3 linked regions of the Mytilus edulis genome follow. The protein of the gene in region 3 purifies or fractionates together with the protein of the main gene of each other region. This does not show direct contact. Links are inferred from orthologs where the notes say so. Each region holds a gene or a part of one and is shown on either strand. Other genes may lie near its edges.

Region 1 (7,658 bases), on a different chromosome or scaffold from region 3:
ACATGTAAACAATACTTTAAGGAATTTTAAACTTAACTGATTAAATATTTCAACATTTTGTAATGAAATGCTGCTGTATTTATTTAGCGTTGTGCTTCTGAGTTTGTCTAAAATTTTTATATCTTGACATTGTGTGTATATATCAGCCCTCAAAGTAGCCTCTAAAATGAAGTTGCCAACTGGCCACCAGACATGAAAATTTAGTGGCCAACTCAAACATAGTCAAAACTTCAGTGGCCAGGAAATAATTTCAAGTTGCCTACAATTTTTTCTATTTACACAAAAACAGGCTTGTAAATTAAAAGTATTACGTTTTTTTGCTGTCTAGTGTAGAAAATTGTTTGTATAAATCCACCGTAAAATAACCACATGATTTATTTAATTTTATATTTGTTGTACATGTTTTAAATCAGTCTGCGATGTTAACCAGTAGTTTGAAGCCCCAGACTAGTAAAAATCTCATCAGACTTGTGCAGAAGCACTTGTGATTGCCCCATCAGTCAAGTGAACATCTGAAATCGTTTTGTAGTTGTAGCCAGTATTTTATTGACTCTATAAGGACAAATTACAAAATTGTCGCCGACATTGTTTACATTAGTTTACTGACGAAATTAAGAACGAGGCTCTACCATGTGCTTTCAATTAACACAATCTATAAATTCCAAGGGTTTTCTTTCAAATGGTATGCAATAGTCAAACTTGTGACTGAGTGCGGAAATATGAAGATAGATAGATCTGTGCCATATTCAGTCGACAACAAATTGCTACCAAATGAACTACAATTACCTGATGCAATTAAGCGCTGACAAGATCAAGCTTAAATCTAAAAGGCTCTTGAAATATAGTATTCATTTGTGTTACTGTCTAGCGCTCAGACTATTTTTTAAAAAACCAGCTCTGATCAGGGCAAAATTTCCGAAAAATTTAAGGTCGCCAGATTTTCAATATTCTAATACTAAGCCTAAATGGTGACCAGTTATGAATTTTTTTTATCACCAATCAGCTTTTAAAGCCGCCCAGGCAACCATTTCAGTAGACTAAATTGAGGGCTGTACATGTAGTAAATACTACTGGTGGAAACATATGGGGACTAAGCAAAGCATAAATAAACAATTCCCACAAACATGACCATGATTACTTTTCCTTCTACTTTGTAGTGACAACCTTCAACACTTTGAATTTTATGTTACTCAGGCCTCTACAATAACTTTTTTTTCAACTTGTCCAGTAGGACAAGTACATACCAAAACTTTTACTTGTCCGAATGAAATTGTAACTTGTCCAAAAAAAAATCTTAATATTAAATAACCTTTTTTGCATTTCAAGTTGATTCAAGGAACAAAATGAATTAAAAAAAAATTGAACAGAATTTGATTTTTATCCTTTGAAATACTTTTAAAAGATATGAGCCATGAACAACTGAATTTAGGTGTGTCACACGACTTAGGTTCTAGCTTTTATCAATGCTAAAGTCTCATCATACTTTGCACATGAGGCACCATCTGATTGGCCTCTAAATGTACACTCATTGGATTTTTATCCTATTTTTTTAAAAGTTGAAAAAAGTTTATTCAAATGCAATCAATAAAAAGAATTTGAGGTATGATTGTCAATGAGACAAAAGACCAAATGACACAGAAATTAACAACTATAGGTCACTGCATTGCAAGTATTGTTTTTTCTACATAAAGATCAAACATGATTTGATGATTTTTATGGTAAATAATAAATTTCCTCATTCTTATTTAAAAAATACGGTATGGACATTGGTATATATTATTATAAAGCAACAAAATAAGGTAGGAAAAGAGGTTCTGATTTGTCTTGGTCCAGAAATGTCTACTGCCTCGCCAAACTGTCTATTAATCATGTCTATGAAATATGTCTCCTACCGTACCCAACTGTCTATTAAACTTGGAGCCGAATCATTTCAGAGCTGGTGACGAACTGTTTTTTAAAGTTACCTTATCTCTGTATCTAAAAAGCGCATGGTTGAATGGGATGGTAAGACTGGTTTCCGAGAAAAGTGTGCTTTTTACCTGTTAAAAGTACTTGACAAAGAACCAGTTTTAAATTATCGATTGCAAGTCTGAGTCTTGAGAAATAGAAAGTTTCAATTAGTTTCAGTTTAAAAAGGAAAGATGTCAAACAAATCTTCTTTTCTTGTTTTTTTTGTTAATAATTATACTTTGTTCATCAAAGTTGATTTATTTTCTGCAGAATGATTCTACTTGTCCCATCGGACAAGCTTGGTATAGCTTTTACTTGTCCGACCTTTTTTACCTCTGGTACCGGACAATTGGCATGCATTATTGTCGAGGCCTGTTACTTGAAATTGATTGAATAAGCATAATTGGTAAATTGCCAAATTTATTTACACAAATTAAACCATATTTAGTTTGAAATCAATTCAGCAGTATGAAGTATGAAATAATTGGGATAATTTGCAAGAAAAAAAATAAATAAAAAAATTGGAGCTCTGACATAAAATTTAAAAACTAAAAAAGACAAAGAACAATGATGAAAGAATTCCAGAAGTCATGGTGATGAGAAACAGCTTATGTCAGGTTCAAATATTGATTTCATTTTTGTTGTTGCTTTTTGTATAAATTTTTAACCATTTATTTGAGAAATATATTAAAATTCTTCATGTCTACAAAAAGAGCATATACATGTAGGTCACATTTGTCACATCAGCCCAATCATAAACGATTAATACATTTAATGAAACAAAACATTTGGCTTGTGTTAAATAATTTCAGGGCACATAAGGCATTAATCTAACAGTTGCAATTGATTTCGATGCGTAATTTACAGTGACGTCAGAATACCGTAACGCGATAAAGAGCACGTTTATTAAATATTTGATCGTTTCTTTTATCTCGAAGTACCACAGCCCAAGTACGAATAAATCAATTACCTATCGTTCAACTGGTCATCTGTTCCAGGTAAAGGATGGACTATACAATGAATGGATGTCATCACGTATTAAAAATATAAATTATTATCTTTTTACTGGAAATTTTATGAAATTTATTCCGATTTTAAAAGTTAATTGATCTTCGCCATCTTTGAAGAAATTTCCATAAGTCAATTGTTACCTGAAATACGATTGGTTAAAACATATTTACTGTCATTGGTTCCGATTGGGTAGTATTTTTATAGTTTTTCGGCATTCAAACTTTCGGATTTGTACTTAATACTAGGGCTGAAAGTTAGAGGTTATTCCGATAACATTGTAAGTAACAGGTGCTTTCAGTTTCAGTTTACTGCATATTATTTCATAACTCATGTTACATATGTTTTTTGTTATTTACAAACAAATCATAACACAGGGACCTGATTAACATTTTCAAATTCCACTTCTTTTCTTCAAATGAAAAAAATCTTGCAAGAAAGTTGATAAATAGTGGACATATGCTGTTGTTGTTCGTCATTAAGGTTCATCATAACAAACAAACAAATATGGCTGTATTTACATGCCAAAAATTACTCTGAGTACAGACTTACCTGTGAAGTTGGAAAAGTTTTAATGCCTGGCATCCACTAGATATAATAAAGTTAAATGCATTTTGTGTTTCAGAAAGATAAAATCTCTTTTGGATTTTGATGGGCATTTTTTTTCCTTCATGCAAAAGGTGTGAAAATTAACTAAGTTGTAGTACAACTATGAGATGCTCCCTCAGGTAAAAAAACCGGTTTGTATTGTTTGATTGTCCTTAATTGACATGGACTAGAGGTATCTTCACAACTATAGGTGAGTTAAAGAGTTTATCTGAGTCAGTCAGTGGACAGTATCAAAGTAATTCAGGTGTTTGTTTATTTTTACACCTTCTGCAGAAAGGAAAAAAAATGCCCATCAAAAACCAAGAAAGATTTTATCTTTCCTAAACACAAAATGCATTTAAGTTTTATATATCTAGTGGATGCTAGGCATTAAATCTTTCCAAACAGCACAGGTAAGTCTGTACACAGAGAAGTTTTTGAGGTGAAAATTCGGCCATATTTGTCCATTTGTTATGATGAACCTTAACATAATTTATAGACATGTCAAGCTGTCAAATGGTAAATCTGGCTAGATAAGTCTAACATACGTTTTTGTTTGACTGAAGAATTTGAATTTGAATTTCCATCGAATGCAGATCAGAAGAATAAATTCTGCATTGCAGAGAGTTGAGATCTGATTTTCAGAAGATACATGTTCATGATATAGTAGAAATACAATTTCAATAGGATATCTGTCTAATTGTATTGAGCTGCACATATTCCAGAATAAGCGTAACAATCTGGAGGAGATTATATACTGGGTACATAATCTTCATGTAGTTTCTATTGGAGGTTGTATTTTAAAAGCTGCATTTCTTTATTTGACATTTCTGACTGGCATGGGCATGATAGGGTATACATTAAAATCATCCTGAATATGCATAAAATATTTGCCACTGTATGTAAAGCAACAAACAATTAATCAATCAGTCTTTAAAATGTAATTTCTGATATGTTCAGCAGTTGCAAATAATCATCATGATCATGCTTACAGACTATAAAGTCTTATATACAGAATATACAGTCTTAGATGACTAATGATTACAATTTTTGTGAATGACTATACTTCAGGCATCATACCCTTTGTATGGGTAAATGATAAATAGAAAATTAAGTTTGTGTTGAAGCTTGGGGAAGATTCAGGATTTTTAAAGGAGAGGTTGAATAACAAAATTAGTTATATAAAATTAACCCAAACCTCAAATGTTTTTGATGATAATTCTTTATTAAAGTGTCGTATATATTGGCAGCTTTATTAGCTTGAGTCCATTGTTATCCTGTCCAATCATGGGTGTTTTTCTCAAAACAAAAAAATTTAAATTTGTATTCTAAGTAATGAAAAAGTGTCTGAAGGCTGGAATTAACATTGATATAAAAAAGTAAGAAGATATGGTATGATTACCAATGATTCTACTCTAAACATGAGTCCAATTGACACAGAAATTAACAACTAAATGACTCTCTACAACCTTCAAAAATTAGCAAAGCCCATACCACACAGTCAGAATAAACATGATAAAATAATTCACTCATGTCTAATTTATGTCATGTATGTACATGTAGGGAATAATGAATGAAAAACAAATGTGCTACACAGCAACAAATTCAACCATTGAGTTTCAGGCTCCTGACTTGAGACAGGCACACACTGGTTAATATAGTCTGATGGTTTGCTAGTCTATTTGCCAATAACTATAATTGATCCTGTAGTTAGAGATTAACTTTAGGAGGTAAATTCATTTTTAATGACAATGGGAAACTAGCCAATACCAATATCTTTATTCTCATAATCATTGCAGGGGGTCTCTTTGGGGGTTCCGATCCCGGATCCCGCTTACCGTTTTGTCCGATTCCTGTATCCAGCTTACACTATGTACGTAAGCAATTCTCATTTTTTTGTCATTTCCCGAGTCCTGCTAGACCTCATTTACCGTTTTCACGACACAATAATTTGACTTTCATGTGTCACGCTTACAAAAAATTGGCAATCCCGCGTCACGCTTAGACCCCAATGAGACCCACATTGCAGATACTTAGGTACAAAGAGGTAGCAAAAAGTTTATATTTAAATATAGAAATATAACTATATATATGTAATAACACATTAGGTCTCATACCCAGGGATGATTCCAGGTGTTTTCAAATGGGTCCCTTGAACATCAAATTGGGAATTTTTATTCTAATTGGGAATTTTTTAAGCATAAAATCTAAGACGAAATAACATTATTTTCCTGAAAAACAGAAAATGTATATTATTAAGTTTAACCTGTACACTGATGTTCATGTAAGTTGTAACATTTTTAATAATTCTGGTTGGGCTACTGTCACATGACTGTTATTACATAAATATCATTGAACATGATGCACTAGTCTATCATCTTAGCTATAGTTACCTAGGCCTATTACAAAAACATATATTTCAGCTAACATAAACCACTGAAAAAAATCATTCATCAGGTATTTTTTCAACAACAGGTCATCTCTATAAATTTACCTTAATTCAAATGGATTTCAAATTGAACTGGTCAATTGTCGAATTCAGAAAAGCAATTACAAAAGTTCATATACTTAATTGATAAGATATTTAAAGCATTGAACCAGTGTTCTTTAAAATTATTTGGATCATCTTCAAAACTTTTGAAATAGTTCAATAATGATGACATCATATTTCATGAATATTCTATCATCAACATTATTTTCAAAAAACGCTCAAACTGTGGTCTTTTGAGGAAATAATTTCTGTTACAAAACAAGTTTTCATCATATTATATAACCGGCTCTGCTGGGTGAACTGCTTTTACAAGATCGGCGTCCATTTAACCTTATCCATCAATGTTATATCAAAATTTGAATTTGCTCTCTGCCGAGGTCTGCTTTGACACCAATTTTTATCAACCTGCTGGGCGATCTGCTTTTACAAGATCCAAAAGTCCCATAACATATTAATCAATTGTATTCGGCTGCTAAAATTGTTTCCCACATGTTGACATACATGTAATTAAATCGTTGTTACTAAGATGCGATCGTAAACAGCATTCTTATCCGGATTTTAAAATGTTTTGACAACAAACTATATATAAAAAATTATAGTTGCCTTAATTGGTGACAGAAACTTTTCCTGAAATATCGATTTTTATTTTACTTTCCTGAATTGGGAATTCATTTTCATGTACATTTTTTTGGGGCCGCTAAGCCGCCCTAAACAATATAGTGGAATCATCCCTGATACCCAATCAAGATATTAAGCAATAACATGTATTGTCGTTTTACAGAAGTATGGAAAGTCATGATGGAAACCTTAGAAGTGACAGTTCATCAGAGAAAAGATCAATTCTACCTCCTGCAGAAGAAAGTCATGATGTCTGTCCAAGGCAATGGGCTTTGTCAAGGTTTCCAAAGAGATATATTGTGGCAATAATGGCATTCCTGGGCTTTTGTGAGTTAAATGTTGTAGTTAGATATGTTTTTATGCCCCTGCTATAGTGGAGGGGCATTAAGATTTACCCTTGTCCGTTTAAGCTTCTGTCCGTAGGTTCCAACGTTGGTTTCTGTTCTCTAACTTTTGTTTGCCTTAACCAAATGTTATATAAATTATACACAATGATTATTACTATTACAGACAGAATAAGTTCGAAATTTGAACTTTAACCTTTTTAGAGTTATGCCCCTTTTAATTTTAGGTAGTGACTGTACATTGTTTTAATATTATACATAGTGATGGTACAAACATGTATGTAATTTTGAAAAGTTTAAGCAAATGGTTTCTGCTTTATTTATTATTTATTAATTACTATAGCTACATGTACTTGTTTTAGCTTTCAGCAACAGATATTTCTTAATATTCATTCATGTCTATAAAAACAATGTGTCTTGAAAAAATATGCTTATGTTTCACAAATAACATAAAACATCCATAGACTGATTCATGTGTAATGGCATGGATTGCTCCCAGGCAAAAAATACTCTTTTATCAGTATGTTAATTTATATCTGAACATCTTATTTTCATAGATCATGTAATACATATATACCGGTGATAAAAGTAATCAAAACTATAAGGAAAGAAAATGCAGAACAATAATTTTACATTTATGTTTCATTCTAGGCAACATA
Region 2 (8,039 bases), on a different chromosome or scaffold from region 3:
TCCCGGCGAGGGAAGAACCAAAAATTTGCGAAAGCAAATTTACAGATCTAACATTGTTGGGTTGATGTTTAGACGAGTTGTATAATTTCATTGTTATGGCTTCCTACGAAGACAGGAAATGAAAGGTCTACAAAAGAGGGGGGGCGGTGCCACAAGGTGCCACAAGAAGCCACACATCAATATCAACAGTCCCTACGTATATATGTATAAAGATACTAAGCTATTATTAATGGCAATGAGTTGTTTGTTTAACACTTCATTACAGAATACTTATCTTTATAAAAATCAAAAAAAACATGTGGTCAAGTTATATACTAAACTTCTAACTTGTATTCAAATTAAAGGAAATTGATGCTGTTAAAGTAACTAGTGTTTCCTGCAGCTTTTAAAAAGGGCAGGGTAATTGTTAGCTCAGAGGGCACATTAAGCGCGATGGACAACAATTTTAGGGCACTTAACATAAACAGGCAATTTCTATAAAATGGATTCATTTAAAACATACTAGTTTAATACTATAAAAAGGACATATACATCTGTAATCAATCATTAAAACAAATTGTTAAACAAGAAAAAGTGTTTAAAACATATATATATGAAATATTTAAAACAATAAACACAATTAAAAACAAAATCAGTTCTTTAAAAACAAGAAAGCACTATGTCATATACATGTATATAAAAATATTGCTTTGGTCATATCAATTGTCATTGACAAATCCTCCTTTTTTCCCCTAAAAACAGGTTGACACATTCCCTGATATCCAGGGTCATTTTTAGTAACCAAAATTTATTAAATTACAAAAAAAAATAACTTTACAAATTAACCCCTTTCCCTCTACACCCTTTTCCAAATTAAATTAATATAGATACAACAAGTTTTACTACTTTCATGGCACTACCATATCAGCTGTTTATTTCAAATGTCTATAAATAGCCAGATATAGTTGTCTGTTACTTAGGTGTTTTCCTAAGTATTTTTCCCGCCTAAAATGATCATGTGACATGTTTGTAAACAAAAGAAAACATTTGATCAAGGAATTCATTTATTTTCTGGATTATTCTGCTTTTTATAATTTAGTTTGGATTTTTATTCATTTCATTTAAGGTACAGTCAAGCATTTGTATTTAAAAAATAGTTTGCAAAGAATTTTTACTTTTCAATTTGACAAATGTCTCATGATCGCCGTTCATTGGCTTGTTCAACCATGCAAACAATGTAAATTATGTAAATTAGAAATCTATCAGCTTTAAAAAAAAATTATCTAAGCATCACATCGATGTTTTTTAATTAATCTTCTATGCAAAACGATGTTTCTGGGACTTGGGGGATACAATCAGGACCCGTGATTAGTGTCTGTATTCACTATTCAATCTATTGCAGTTTGCTAATCAGCTGATTACGAAATCGATTACAAAATGGCGACCTAGTGAACTTTTGTTTTGAAGGGAAATAACTCGAGCGGTATTCATAAAATATGTCTTTCAGTACCGGTTGTTAATTACGACGATAAGGCATGGCGTCAGGAATTTCGACAAAATTAGGGCAGGGCGCTAATTTTTTTTCCCAAAAAGGGCAGGGCGTTGAGAAATCGCGGCAGGGCGCCATTACACGCCAAAACCACCTGTAGGAAACACTAGTAACTCACATCTCTAAGAGATATAAAACAAAAATAATTACAACAAATCCTTAAAAACATGTATCAATCAGTATACAAGCATGTACATGTTCCATTTAAATGTTTTGCGATTTATATCTAAATTTCCAAAACTAGTTGTATAAAATGAATTAAAAAATGTCTATTTCCAAACAAATATCTATTGGGAATGTTTCCCAATATATTCATATATATGTGCGGCCTTATGACCCAGTGATATTGTTTGGCTCAAATAACAGCCGGAATTCGGCCTTTTCCCCTAGAGAAAATTCCCAATTACTGAAAAAAATGGCTTAAAATTCCTCCCAAAAAGTTTTACATTTTCCCCAAACAGTGATGGCATTGGTAGTAATGTTTGTAAATATCGTATTCATGTTATCATTTTGATATTAGAAAGCACTTTTGAGATCAGGTTTTCTGATCAGAATCATCATGGTGTTTGTAACACATGTAGTTTTCAATGCATTGTAAGTACCATCGTTGCTTCTGTTTCTTTCCCCTCTCCGAAAGTATCTTTCAGGTTGAAAATGTCTGACAACCAAAATATACATGAAAAAACAGTGCAAAAAGACAGCAAAGGTCAGGAAAAAATCGGAGATGTGTTCAGAATAAAATATACAAATTTCCCAATTTCAATAAAAAATATGCATTTTTCCCAATAAAAAACGGTAGAGGTAGTTTTGAAAAAAGACAACAATATCACTGTGACCATTTCGATAAAAAAATACAAATTAGGAATGTTTCTCCTGTTAATACATGTATGTATGTGCAGACCCTATGACTATTTCATGCAAAAAATATATATTGTGACTTTTTTTCCTGTGACCTTTTTTCCTGTGACTTTTTTTCCGTGACTTTTTTTCCTGTGACTTTTTTTCCTACATTCGAAATCAACTAGTAATGGAACATTTTTTTAAATTTTTTTTTATAAGTGGGGTCTATAAATCAATATGAGTATAAAAGGGGGAAATACATGTGGGAGTGACTGGAGGCCAATAATTGCCAGAATTCGCGAAATCTTTTTTCCCCTGGTGGTCCTTGAAGAAAATCTGCAGGTCCTCACTATAAGCTTTATTAAAAAATACTAAAATTGTGTCAGTCTACGCCAAATTTTGGTGGTGAAAATTATCCTGAGGACCACCACTTTTCGCGAAGTCTGAATAATAAATTTGCGTTTGTATCCTTACATTTTTTACTTTTCCTAAAAGACAAACGTTTCTGCCTCTGTGAGAAGGTAATTTTGAGGCATTTACACGTGGTTTTGAGAATTCCATTGTTGAATGATGAATCTTTCTTCTTCTATGATGACTATTTTCTTTGCAATCACCCGCGCAATTTTACACTGGTATCCTTTATTCTAAAACCTTTAGGTTGAGCAAAGCAAGAAATAAACTTTAAAAAGTAAGGCAACCAGAACAAAAATATCTTAGTAACACATGTGTTTGAAATAATTGGTATCATTTCGGTCCATACCAAGCTCGCCCGAAGCTTTATAATACGCCCATAGAAACTCGGACCATAACATATCAGGATACCAGGAACATGAAATGTATATTGATATTTACTGTTGTTTACATAACAAACTAAGCATACAACAGAATATTACCAGTAAGATGATGTATAGAACTAGAGGCTCTAAAGAGCCTGTGTCGCTCACCTTGGTCTCTGTGAATATTAAACAAAGGAAGCAGATGGATTCATGACAAAATTGTGTTTTGGTGATGGTAATGTGTTTGTACATCTTACTTTACTAAAAAGTCTTGCTGCTTACACTTATCTCTATCTATAATGAACTTGGCCCAGTAGTTTCAGTGGAAAATGTTAATAAAAATTTACAAATTTTATGAAAATTGTTAAAAATTGACTATAAAGGACAATAACTCCTTAGGAGGTCAATTGACCATTTCGGTCATGTTGACTTATTTGTAAATCTTACTTTGCTGAACATTATTGCTGTTTACAGTTTATCTCTATCTATAATAATATTCAAGATAATAACCAAAAACAGCCAAATTTCCTTAAAATTATCAATTCAGGGGCAGCAACCCAACCGTGAACGGGTTGTTTGATTCATCTGAAAATTTCAGGGCAGATAGATCTTGACCTGATAAATAATTTTACCCCATGTCAGATTTGCTCTAAATGCTTTGGTTTTTGAGTTATAAGCCAAAAACTGCATTTTACTCCATGTTCTATTTTTAGCCATGGCGGCCATCTTGGTTGGTTGGCCGGGTCACTGGACACATTTTTAAAACTAGATACCCCAATGATGATTGTGGCCAAGTTTGGTTTAATTTGGCCCAGTAGTTTCAGAGGAGAAGACTTTTGTAAAAGTTAATGACGACGGACGACGGACGCAAAGTGATGGAAAAAGCTCACTTGGCCCTTTGGGCCAGGTGAGGTAAAAAAGCAATTTTCAATCAACATAGAAATTTTCAATCAAAATAACAAATTTAGTAACAATTTAACAAATAAAAACTTTCGTCACTTTATCAGATAGATTATTTCATATTTTGCTATAGACTCACAGCCATGAACTTTGGAGAATATTTGTTTTACTCTTTATTCTTAAGATATGTCTGTTTTCTGTTTTTGTCACTATAATTTGACTAGAAGGTACTTTTAGTAACAATAACAATGCTGCATAGTATGATGATACTAACATTTGATGCTTTAATCTTTTATGGTAACTTATATTAGGTTACTGAAATTTGGTATTTATAGCTCTTTTCTGTTCTTCCTCATTGTTATCTTTCCGCCTGTTTTCTAAAAGGTGCCCATATTCAACTATCATAGTATAAATGTGTTCTCATTTATAATTTTATACTAAGATGAAGATTTTGGCATAAATATTCTAAAAAAGATTTAGAACATGTCTTAGTAGAGCGAATTCGGACGGAGTTAGATTTATTTACCTCTTTCACGTATATATATTAAGTGAAATGTTAGATTTTTATCTAATACTATGCATATTTCATTCTCTTCTGTGCATCTGTTTATGTCTTGACCTGGTGCAGAGTTATACTGTACCTGTGTCTCTCGAGTTTATACTTTATCAAAGTGCTTCATTTTCAGGGTAGAATTACGGGACCATGTATCACTTTAGTTTTCTGGTCAAGACCTTTATTTTCGATACATCATCGGTGGTCACTCTTGTCTCCTTTGGTCCTGATGATATTAATATCACCAGCAAATCACAGACGTTTGTGGAATGGACCCCTTTTTTATTTTTTATCTTTGGTTTTTAAATTGTATTTAAGAATTTGTTTTTCATGTAACTGTTTTAACTTATAATGACTTGTTTTACATATTTAAGGTGTTCAACGTCATTTCAATGCGATTTAACCCAAAAAAATCCCATTATCCTTATCTTCTTCTTTTTATGGCACCCTCAACGGAGTTGGGGTGACATATTGTTATTGTTCGTTTCTTTTTTTCTTATATTTATTCTTCCACACTTTTTTGTCCATGCTATTTCTCAGAATTGGCTTGAACAATATTGATAGAACTATACCATAATGAGGACCACTATATGAAATTGTGCAATCGGGGTATGGCATCATCAAGATGGCTGCCGTTGCCATGGAAACTGATAAAATGTAAAAAAAAAATGCAAATTCTAAATCTTTCATTATAAGACCTAGCTGGATGAAACTTTATGGTTATGTTGGCAGTGGTGCCCTGAGGTACCAACAGTACTTAGCTTCTGCAAAATGGCTGCCATTGCCATGGAAACTGGAGAAAAGTTTAACATTGACCTTATGGGAAAAAACATAAAAACAGCATTTTCTTAAGGAATATCAGACAAAACTCAAAGAAACATCATGAATATGTAACATTGCATAAGTCAATGTTGCAACTGTAACATTGCATAAGTCAATGTTGCAACTGTTGTTGGAATTTTCGAAATGGACACCGTTACCATGGAAACAGCAAAAATATCAAAAAAATTCAAAATGGTCCAAACTTAATGAAACTTATAATAGATGGTAACTGACAATTGGAGATAGGACTTTGGACCTCAGAATTTCCAAAATGGCCGTCGTTGCCATGGAAACTGCAAAACTGTAAAAAATTGAAAAATGGTCCAAATTTGATGAAAATTTACAGAGAAATACATTCTTATGTCTTAGTGTGCATTGACTGTTTAAACTTTCAAAAAGGCTGCAGTTTAGAGGCAATGTGGGAAGGGTGCCATCCGCTATTGCTTGCAATGGCAAATCTAGTTTATTACTGATATTGTATATAAATACTAAAAATAAAAAATGGGGGTCCACTCCACAAACGCCTGTGCAGCAAATAAGTAATCATCTAATTTAATACAATCTGGAAGGTCATTATTGCAAAAAAACAAATCACAGGGCGGGGGGGGGGGGGGGGGGGGGGGGGGGCTAATACTGCGTCTGGAGGTATTCCCGAAGTAACCTCCTTCCAGTCTGATGTTTCATAATTTACAATTTAACTATTCCCTGTCTAGATGTTAGAAAAAGTTTTCAAGCTTCTTAAGAGGAGAAGCAAAAGATACCAAAGGGACATTCAAATCCATAAGTCGAAAATAAGCTTACAACACCTTGTCTAAAAAAGATTAAAAAAAAAAAGCATACAAACAGAAAATCAAATCATAAAACTGCTTTTAAGTTTAAGAGTGCACATGCTAAAATGTCTCGCCTGTCTTTCTTATCAATGAATTTATGTTGAAAGTCTGTTACATGATGGTTTTATAGACTAGTATCACATAAACTTAACATTGACAATGTTCTATGATATTAAATGGGGTCAGATGAATCATGCCAGAGACAGACAGATATGTATGTATAATCATTAAATACACCAACTATAATCAAATACCATTCAACCATGCACGAAAATGAGGTCATGGTCAGATGATACCTGTCAGACATGCATACACTTTACAATGACCCATACAATTATAGCTGACCTATCGCGAAGAGTATTTGCAAAACCGACAAAACACCTAACATTGACCAATGAACCATACAAATGAGGTCAAGGACAATACAAGACATATATGACAGACGGAAACTTCGTAACATAAGGCATCTGCATACAAGGTACGAATCATCCAGGTCTTCTATAATAATACCTTTTGCAATATAAAGCTTTACTCAACTAGTTTGCCACCGCCGCCGGATAGCAATACCTATCTCTTGCATACTTTGACTTCGTCGCAGGCGAGACAAAAATTGTTAGATCTGTCTTCACATCATGACAACTTCCTAGATGACCATATGCCTATGTCGTTCTCTTCAATGTTTCTGCTGATGGCTTAATTAATCTTGTGTAAAGTTATTTTGTACATTCGTCTACAGTGGCGGATCCAGAAATTTTCATAAGTGGGGGCCCACTGACTGACCTAAGAGGGACCCGATCCAGTCACGCTTCAATGATTTACTATATAAGCAACCAATTTTTTTTCCCAAAAAGTGGGGGGGGGGGGGGGGCTCTGGTCTATCAGTGAATTTCGGTATCTTCCACTTTAATAAAGTGCTTACATTTTTCTTAATTGATGGAAATTAAAGAGCCATGTATCAGTTCAGTTTTCTGTTCTAGATCATAATATGCAACTTAGCATTGATTGTCACTCTATAGTTTATTATTATGATCCTTCCAATCTGATGTTTCACAATTTACTGATACTCTTTGTTGTCAAATTGATCTTATTTAAAATATAGATTTCTGATTTCTTTATACTCGTGTGTAGTATAACGAAATCAGAGATCTATATCTTAAATAGGTTGCATTCGTAAATCACTATTACCTACTCTTATACTTGAATTTTATACAGCTTCATATGGCTTTGAGATTTTTCTTTGAATTTTCGGATAAACCTTTTCTATTGTTTTCTTTAACCTATGTACTAAGAATGTTGTCATGTTTCATACTCTGTTGTATTCTGTTTTAATATTTATAATAATATAAAAATTAAAAAAAGCCTTTCAAGACGACATAAGTAGTTGGACTAGCTAGTGAAATTCAAATTCAAATTCAAATATCTTACTAGTAAGTTATTCCTAATTAAAGGGCCCATAAAGAGCATATACAACACAAATCACAGAGTTCATACAAAATCCACATAACAACACATGCAATCTAACATACTGATTGTTATTAGTTATATATGATTAGGAACAAATATGGAAACATGAAAATAAAAATATATGAAAATGATAGGAGAGATCCAGGAGCCTGAATAACTCTTTTTTTTTATCTGAGTTTTTGTCTCTTTTTTCCTGTCCAGAGGCGGATTTAGAGGGGGGGCAGAGGGCCTGCACCCCCCTTTTTGGGAAAAATTTGGTTGATTATATACTCATGATAAGGAATCACTGAAGCTTGGCCGAAGCGGGGCTACCACTTAGGCAGTCA
Region 3 (7,735 bases):
CTATAGGGGTCAACTAGAGATCTATCGTCAATCAATTCTAATAGTTTGTCTCTAGCATTAGGATTATTTATGTGTAAATAATTATAACAATCTAAATTTGGATTTAACACAAGATTAAAATCTCCACAGATAATAAAACACTCATTTTCAAAATCATCAATAATTGACATAATATGCTCATAAAAAAATGGACTGTCAGTATTTGGGCCATATATAGTTATGAGAGTAAAACGAACTTTATCTACAACCAAATCCAAAGCTAAGTAGTTTCCATCAATGTCCCTTTTTTCTTTAAGGACTTTCCACTCAAAATTATTTTTAAACATAATAGCTACACCTCTTGAATTTGAAGAAAAGGATGAAAAGTAGCATTCATATCCCCATAACGTTCTTATACTATTTTCTTTATCCACTGTGAAATGAGTGTCTTGAAGACAATAAATGTTATGGTTTCCAGATTTTAGAAAACTAAATACATCCCTCCTTTTAGATAAATCACCCAGACCCTGACAGTTAACAGACAGTATCTTTAAAGAGCCCATAATGGTTTGAAATATGTGTACATCATCATTTCATATAGGCATGCATTTTTACATATGATCATCCATATTATACATTCACATGAGACACAAAGACATATACGCAAAGATTTGCTCAAAACATCTAGATATGGTGGTATAAAAATTCTCAACATACATGTATTACCAAGCCTCGTACATAGACCAACAGTGAAATTCAATACTTTACAGACATTCAATTCATAGAAAAAAATAAAATTAACAGACAAAAAAAGTGTTAAAAAAAATAAATATTTCAATATGTTTTGCCACATTGTAGTTGGGATTTGTCAGTTTATGCAGTTTGCCTTATATGACACCAACAAAATAATAGTTCAACAAAAATTAAGATTATCTGTACAAAAAAAAAAAAAAAATTAACATCAATATGTATTGTAGAAAGAAAATCAATACTATACATGATCTATAGTTAAAAGAGAGATAACTCCGATTTTTTTATACAAAGAAAGGGAGATAAGCACAAATATTAAGTCAAATATTAACAATGAACTATAGAATTCTCAAAACTGTCCGTGAGGTCTAAGTTCTTATTACGTAACATCTATTTCCCTTGCTGTACTCTGTAATGAATGTCATCATATAGTCCAAATTTCAGCTGAAGTCCTGCAGGTGTTCTACCATAAATTCCACAATTAAAGTACCAGACAGATTCAAACTCGTCAGTTTTTCTAAGTCTCTCAATTAAACTCATGTTTCTTTGAGTAACGTCATCCACAAATCTAATTTTACTGGTCAATTCTTTCCTACATCTCATAATTTGGCGCTTAACATCACTACTGAATAGCTTGACAATAACTGGATAGGGCCCAGCCTTTTGGGATGGTATACGATGGATTGCAACCACATCTCTGTCTTCTAATTGGACATTTAGTTCTTTTTTCACAGTTTCCATAAAGTCCTTTCTAAGATCTTGTTTATCCTTTCTTGGAAAATTTATTATTTTAATGTTATTTTTTCTCGAGTACTGCTCGTTATAATTGCTGCTTATATCAGCCTGTCTTGAAAGTCGACTTGTTTCGTTTAAGTCTCTTCTAATTGTTGTATTGGAATACTGTATAGCTTGTATCTTATTTTTCAGGTCTTCATTTTCTATAGTTAAAGCATCAAATTTTTCCTGCATTTCATTTTTAACTTCTTCCACTTTTTCATCAATCTTCTTTTGTACAGTTATTTCAAATTCATTCATCAGCTTTTTGACAATTAAAGTAACCACTTGCTCAAGATCACTAGTTTTAATCAGATCTTTTGTTACTCTATCAAGGTCCTCTCTCCTTGTCACACCTTCAAGTTTGATTTTAATTTCATCAATATCCTTTTGAAAGTTCATTATGCCAGATAAGTCTAAACTATTGTTTGATTCGTTAGATACGTCTGAATGAGTTCGTTTACTAGGTGGTGGTTTATTCTTATCTACTTTTGCTGCAAGCAATGTCTGAACAGTATTCACAGGTTTAGTAGTAGGTCTTTTGTTTGTTGATTTTAAACCAGCTAAATTTTGCCCTGAAGACATACTGTACATATATTGTCACCTCTAGTAGTAGAAATCAATAATCAAATATCAAAATAGATCCTTCTGGAAAAAATCTTTCACAAGTCACAAAATTATTCCTGTTGAAAATATTCCACAAAAATTATATCATTCTAATCTCCATTGAATTAGCTATCACATAGTACTAAATTCACAGACAGTGTCTTCCTAAATTTGTCATAAAGCTGCAAAAACTGGGAGCTAACTTTCTAAGGTGTTAACTGCTCGGCAGCCATATTGATCTCTGTGTGTTTTCCTATTGTTGACGAGGTAGTATGTCGGAATTTCTGTGGGTACTTGGTGGTACAGTATTTTATGAAATAGTATCAAGCGATTTGCTGTTCTTCTCGTTTCAAGAGTCTGCCAATTCAAAGATCGTATAATTGCGGTCATAGAGCCGGGTTGGTAGTTGTAGTTCTTAGTTACAAATCTTGCCGCCCTGTGTTGTACCATTTCTATCCGTTTGATGTCCTTCTTCCAATGTGGGTCCCATACTGAGCTACTGTATTCTAGATGTGGTCTTACCAAAGCAATGTAAGCATGTTGTTTAATTTCTTGAGGGCATCTATATAAATTTCTTCTGACAAAGTTCAGTTGTTGTGAAGCTTTGTTAATTTTAGAGGTAATGTGATGGTTCCAATTGAGCTTGCTGTCCAGCTCCACCCCTAGATATGGGTTATGTTCTTTTAGTTCCAGCTTAGTGGAATGTAAGAAGTATGGTCTTAGAATTCTATTACGGATGTTATGTGTTGTCTGTAGAACGTAGCATTTCTTTGGATTAAATGACATTTTCCAATCAATAGACCACTTTTCTAATTCAGTTAGGTCTTTCTGTAATATTTCTGTATCATTATTGGTTTTGATGTCTCTATATAATAAGCAATCATCTGCAAATAGTCTTATGCTGGTACCAGTTGTTAAATTATCCCCAATGTCATTGATGTATAGGAGAAATAGAAGCGGACCTAATACGGTGCCTTGTGGAACTCCGGATCGTACGGTTGCAGGTTGTGATTTACAGCCATCCAGGAGTACTGTCTGTTTTCTATTTTGAAGCCAGTTATCTATCCAATTTACTGTGTACTTGTCAATACCCTTGTTCCTTAGTTGGTGTACAAGATGGCGATGTGGCACGGTATCGAAGGCCTTACTGAAGTCCAGTATCAGTATATCTGCTTGGCTTTTATTATCTCTTATTCTAGCTAGATCTTCTGTGGTGTTTATAAGCTGTTGTTCGCACGAGTGGTTTTTCCTGAATCCATACTGGTATGGTGACAGGAGTTTGTTGTTATCCAGGTAGTTCATAATGCTACTAAAGATGATGTGCTCCATAATTTTACACGGGACAGATGTAAGAGAGACAGGACGGTAGTTTGCTGGATCTGTTTTATCGCCCTTTTTAAAAATCGGGATAACATTACCGATGAGCCAGTCTGTTGGTACTGTTAATACTCATGCCACATCTTCTTAAATCTATAATACAATGAATAGTGAAATCTTCTTCACTAACACAATTTTGTAAACGGCTCACCACTTGTCTTAGACTATTAATATTGTTGTAAGTGTAGAATTGTAAAGTCACATTTATACACTTAGCGGCCACTTAGCCAATACATAACAGTCTTACAGCTGGGCCCGGCCTTAAGCATACATCAAACAGGTTTAAAAGTTTATTCAAACAATATCAGCAATGTCTGCGTGTACCCGCATGCTGGTACGTATTGTCAAATTGCCATTCATAGGCTACACGTACCCACATCTGTTTTATAATAGAATGAAACGTGAAATATATATGCAAATTGTCGATCCGATGGCATTCTATTATAAAACCGAATGTGGGTACACATAGCCTAAGAATAGCAATTTGACTTTTTGCATACGCACATGGGTACATGCAGACACTGCCAACAATATTTTATTCTTACTCTCCATTTCTTGAGCACCCTGAAGGAGTTCCTTTACATTTACTCTTTCGCCTGTGTTAGAAGAGGTGTCATTGTCAGCCTCAGTTTTACTGTTTTCTTCCTGACTAGAACCTCCAGTATCCTTAGAATAGTCTCTGGTGTAACTTATTTGGGGATCACTGAAATATAGAACTGGACATATCTTTTTCAATCTTGAACTTGGTTTGATCAGCCTTCGTAACGCCTGTGAATGGGCGTAGATACGTAGTGGAAAGCTTTGCATTCTATGTTAAAAATTATAATGACACAAAAATCATATCAGTTCTTTAAACCATATAGTTCTTGGACTTTTAAACTTGAAGTGAACTTGACCAGCTGCACAATCCAAAAATCAAAACAAATGGGTAACATCCATGTCGGGTCCGGAACTAAATTCCGGAAAATATAAGGTAAAGTGTAGATAATTTTGTGATGTAATTTTAAAATTCAGAAGAGTTTTTAATGTATTATTTTCTTTTATTAAAAGACAACTAAAATAGTTTCATTTAACAATTTCTTTTGTTATCTGTAATCATCAAATAAGTAAGCAGGGTGTTTTTAATATACGCATTAAAATCAACACTTTCTTGTACCACTATGAATAAATTGACAGAAATTTTCTTACACAATCTGTGAATTTACTTTCATTTTCTCATTTACTCTAAACAATTTACACCATAATCTATATTGACTGTAAAGAAAGAGGAACACTGAAATAATTTAAAGGTATAACAAGGTCCATTTAAAAAATGGAAATTGGTTGAATCAGGGATAAATTCTTTTAATATTTTCTTCATTTATCAACATTGTCATATGCTAGAACTTAAACAAAATATTTTATTCCATTGCATGTTGATTTTGATAGCGAAATCAACATTTGATTGGTTGAAACTCTCACACGTGACATCGAACAAAACATCATATTCCCCTGTGAGTATCTAATTCGGAAATTTATTATTATTATCCCCTCCGAGTATCATATATTCCCCTCTGAACGTCCAGATTGCCTTGTGCGACGTTACCCACGGTTAATGTTTTAATAAAATATTTTGATAGGGTTTATTTTAAAAATTATTTCAATCTAAAAGCAAATAGAAAAGAATAAACAATTAATTAACTTTAAATAGGTACTGATTATCATTTTGTATGTTGTGTTTATAGTTCTAAAACAAAACGAATAAGAAAACAATTATGTAAATTTATGTATAAGTAAAAAAAAAAGTATAGGCAGTGGAATAAAACATTCATTTCCCTTGGTATGATATTTCTTGGGTGAACAAATCTTCATATTTCCCTCAGGCACGGGAAATAAATGTATAATGTTGGGTCTAGTCCAAATAATTATGACGTCCTGAGGCCACAATTAAAATTATTTTGGTTTGCCCAAACCCTACCCAAAGGTTGAGACAGTGGGTAGGTAGGTAGGCATTTTCTTTTTTTTTTCAAATAGAGAAATTGAAGTATCTGGTTTTTATTAGTCTTCATGCCTATCTGATTAAAAAAAAAAACTTCTTCAAATCAGGACAATAAAAGAATTTGAGTAGGCAGCTTTTTTCTGGGTAGGTAGCGTTTGGGCAAACAAACCTATTCTTTTTTATGGCCTGAGAGGCTATTATATTTTATTGCTAAGTCGTCTTACAGCATGTACAGCAACATCAAATAAAAAAAATAATAATAGGTTAGCCCTTTCAAGACATTATTATAAGGCACTGGCTACGTGGTTACTTGGAAATGTAACAATAATGAAAAATATTATTGTAACATTGGAGACTAATTGCCAAAATACAGGTTTGGGTAAGGATCCGATTAATTACGGCAATTAGTCTCTAATGTAACAATAATATTTTTATTATTGTCACCATGGTTACATTTCCAGGTAACCGTAGCCAGTGCCTTATAATAATTTGTACTAGTAGTAGTACCAATCATATCATACAATAATAAATCATGTAAATATCAAAGTATCAAAAGTCACAGACTATAGGGATACAGTACGTGCTATACTGACGCCACAAATATCATGAAATTATCATGAACATGATGAATATGAACTACATGATTGTTCAATAATGTCGAAAGTTCAAGTGTCGCAAATTCTCAGGTCAGGTGTCACAGATTCCTAAATAGTCAGGTGTCACAGATTCCTAAATAGCAAAAAGGTCTTTTACAAATGATAAAGTCATCATGGGCTTCTCTGTAATTTTTGCACTTTCCCTTTCATGTTTTATGTCACAATGTTTTATATGTCATGTGTACATGTATATGTTAGTCTACGTATAATCTGATAATGTCACAATAAGAACTGATTGTTCAATGACATCATTTACATCAATTGATCTCATAATAATTCCTCATTTGGAAGACTAATTTTATTTGTGTAACATTGCAGAAAGCACAAAATCAGGTACATGTACATGTATACCAGTATCATCACTCAGACACAGCAGATTTCACTGTAGCCTTTAATGCTCAATTCTGCTGCTCCACATAAACAACTGTTATAATAGTCATGAAGTAAAGGTTATGACCTAGTGATGCTTACATTTGCAGATAATGTTGTTCTTTTCATTGTTTTCATCATCTGGAAATGCTATAGATCACAAGTTTAATTGTTATTTTAGCATGCAAAAGCTTTAGAATTATTGACCACCATTCAGTGGAGGATCCAGAACTTTTTATAAGGGGGGCCCACTCCAGTCAAGCTTCGGCTTTTACCTATATATAATTAAACAAATTTTTCCCACAAAGGGAGGGGGCCTTGGACCCGTAAGGCCCTCTGGATCTGCCTGTAATATCTGTGATTATACTCATAAACCTTTGGGACATTGATGTATTACGTAATGTCACTACATTGATGCCAGTTGTATTTTGTTAGTCATTATTAAAAAAACATCTGAATAATCAAGTCTTGCTTAGATCTTTCAATGGCGGTGAGAATGGGTGAAATTTTACCCCATGCATATACCTTAAGAATTGCTATAGGTGAAAAACAATCCCACAGTTCAGTTACATGTTCATGATGTACATGATATAGTTGTACATGTTGTAAAGTGTTATACAGATTAAAAGTTACTAATTTTAAACTATGTTTTTGATATTTTGACATGTTTGATACTGAAATGACTAGAAAAATTTTATTCATAGTCTTAGAATTAGTTTGTTCAATTCATTTGATATGAGATAACTAGTGCATGTAGTGAGGAATAAGTATTTCATAAGTTTGTTAATTTTGGATATTTTTTTTTTGCAGATAATGGCTGAAGGTGGGAAAAGCAATGATGACTATGATACCTTTACCTGTTTAATTTGTGGTCAGAATGGTTTCACAGAACCTCAGATGAGAGAACATGTTATGATGGAGCATGTTGAACAAGAAGTATATTGTCCATTTTGTGATTTGGGAGGGATCACGGCCAATGAAATGAATCTACATATCAATAAAGCTCATTTAGACGAATGTTTTAGTCCTGATGGTGCTAGTGGGACAGATTTTGAATTTCAGGAGGGGACTAGTGATAGCGGTTGTTGTAGTCCGATAGAAAAAGATGTAAAAAAACCAACGAATGGTATTTTAGGTTCAATGGATTGCTCAACAAGTAAAGTGCTAAGTTCTGATCCTGAAAGTCTCGGTAAAAAGAAGAGTAGACTGTGTTTAAATGTTGCTTCTGTGTCAGGAATAGTACACA

What was found.
Region 1: the proteins of zinc finger-containing ubiquitin peptidase 1-like (region 3) and E3 ubiquitin-protein ligase UBR5-like purify together in Homo sapiens (affinity purification with mass spectrometry, with the first as the bait; 3 studies listed by BioGRID). This does not show direct contact. The link is inferred for Mytilus edulis from reciprocal best matches to the Homo sapiens genes ZUP1 and UBR5.
Region 2: the proteins of zinc finger-containing ubiquitin peptidase 1-like (region 3) and replication protein A 14 kDa subunit-like purify together in Homo sapiens (affinity purification with western blotting; 3 studies listed by BioGRID, with this or other methods). This does not show direct contact. The link is inferred for Mytilus edulis from reciprocal best matches to the Homo sapiens genes ZUP1 and RPA3.

What each region holds. Positions count from the first base shown.
Region 1 is NC_092355.1:19,654,513-19,662,170, forward strand, and holds the start of E3 ubiquitin-protein ligase UBR5-like, read right to left. Parts: upstream 3,104-7,658; 5' UTR 2,983-3,103; coding exon 2,921-2,982; intron 1-2,920. Other genes in the region: sialin-like, read left to right, coding at 6,823-6,982, 7,651-7,658. UniProt on the Homo sapiens protein: E3 ubiquitin-protein ligase involved in different protein quality control pathways in the cytoplasm and nucleus. Mainly acts as a ubiquitin chain elongator that extends pre-ubiquitinated substrates.
Region 2 is NC_092351.1:62,143,775-62,151,813, reverse strand, and holds the start of replication protein A 14 kDa subunit-like, read right to left. Parts: upstream 3,007-8,039; 5' UTR 2,930-3,006; coding exon 2,843-2,929; intron 1-2,842. UniProt on the Homo sapiens protein: As part of the heterotrimeric replication protein A complex (RPA/RP-A), binds and stabilizes single-stranded DNA intermediates that form during DNA replication or upon DNA stress.
Region 3 is NC_092353.1:22,636,672-22,644,406, forward strand, and holds the start of zinc finger-containing ubiquitin peptidase 1-like, read left to right. Parts: upstream 1-4,627; 5' UTR 4,628-4,775; intron 4,776-7,299; 5' UTR 7,300-7,302; coding exon 7,303-7,735. Other genes in the region: uncharacterized protein, read right to left, coding at 4,032-4,293. UniProt on the Homo sapiens protein: Deubiquitinase with endodeubiquitinase activity that specifically interacts with and cleaves 'Lys-63'-linked long polyubiquitin chains. Shows only weak activity against 'Lys-11' and 'Lys-48'-linked chains.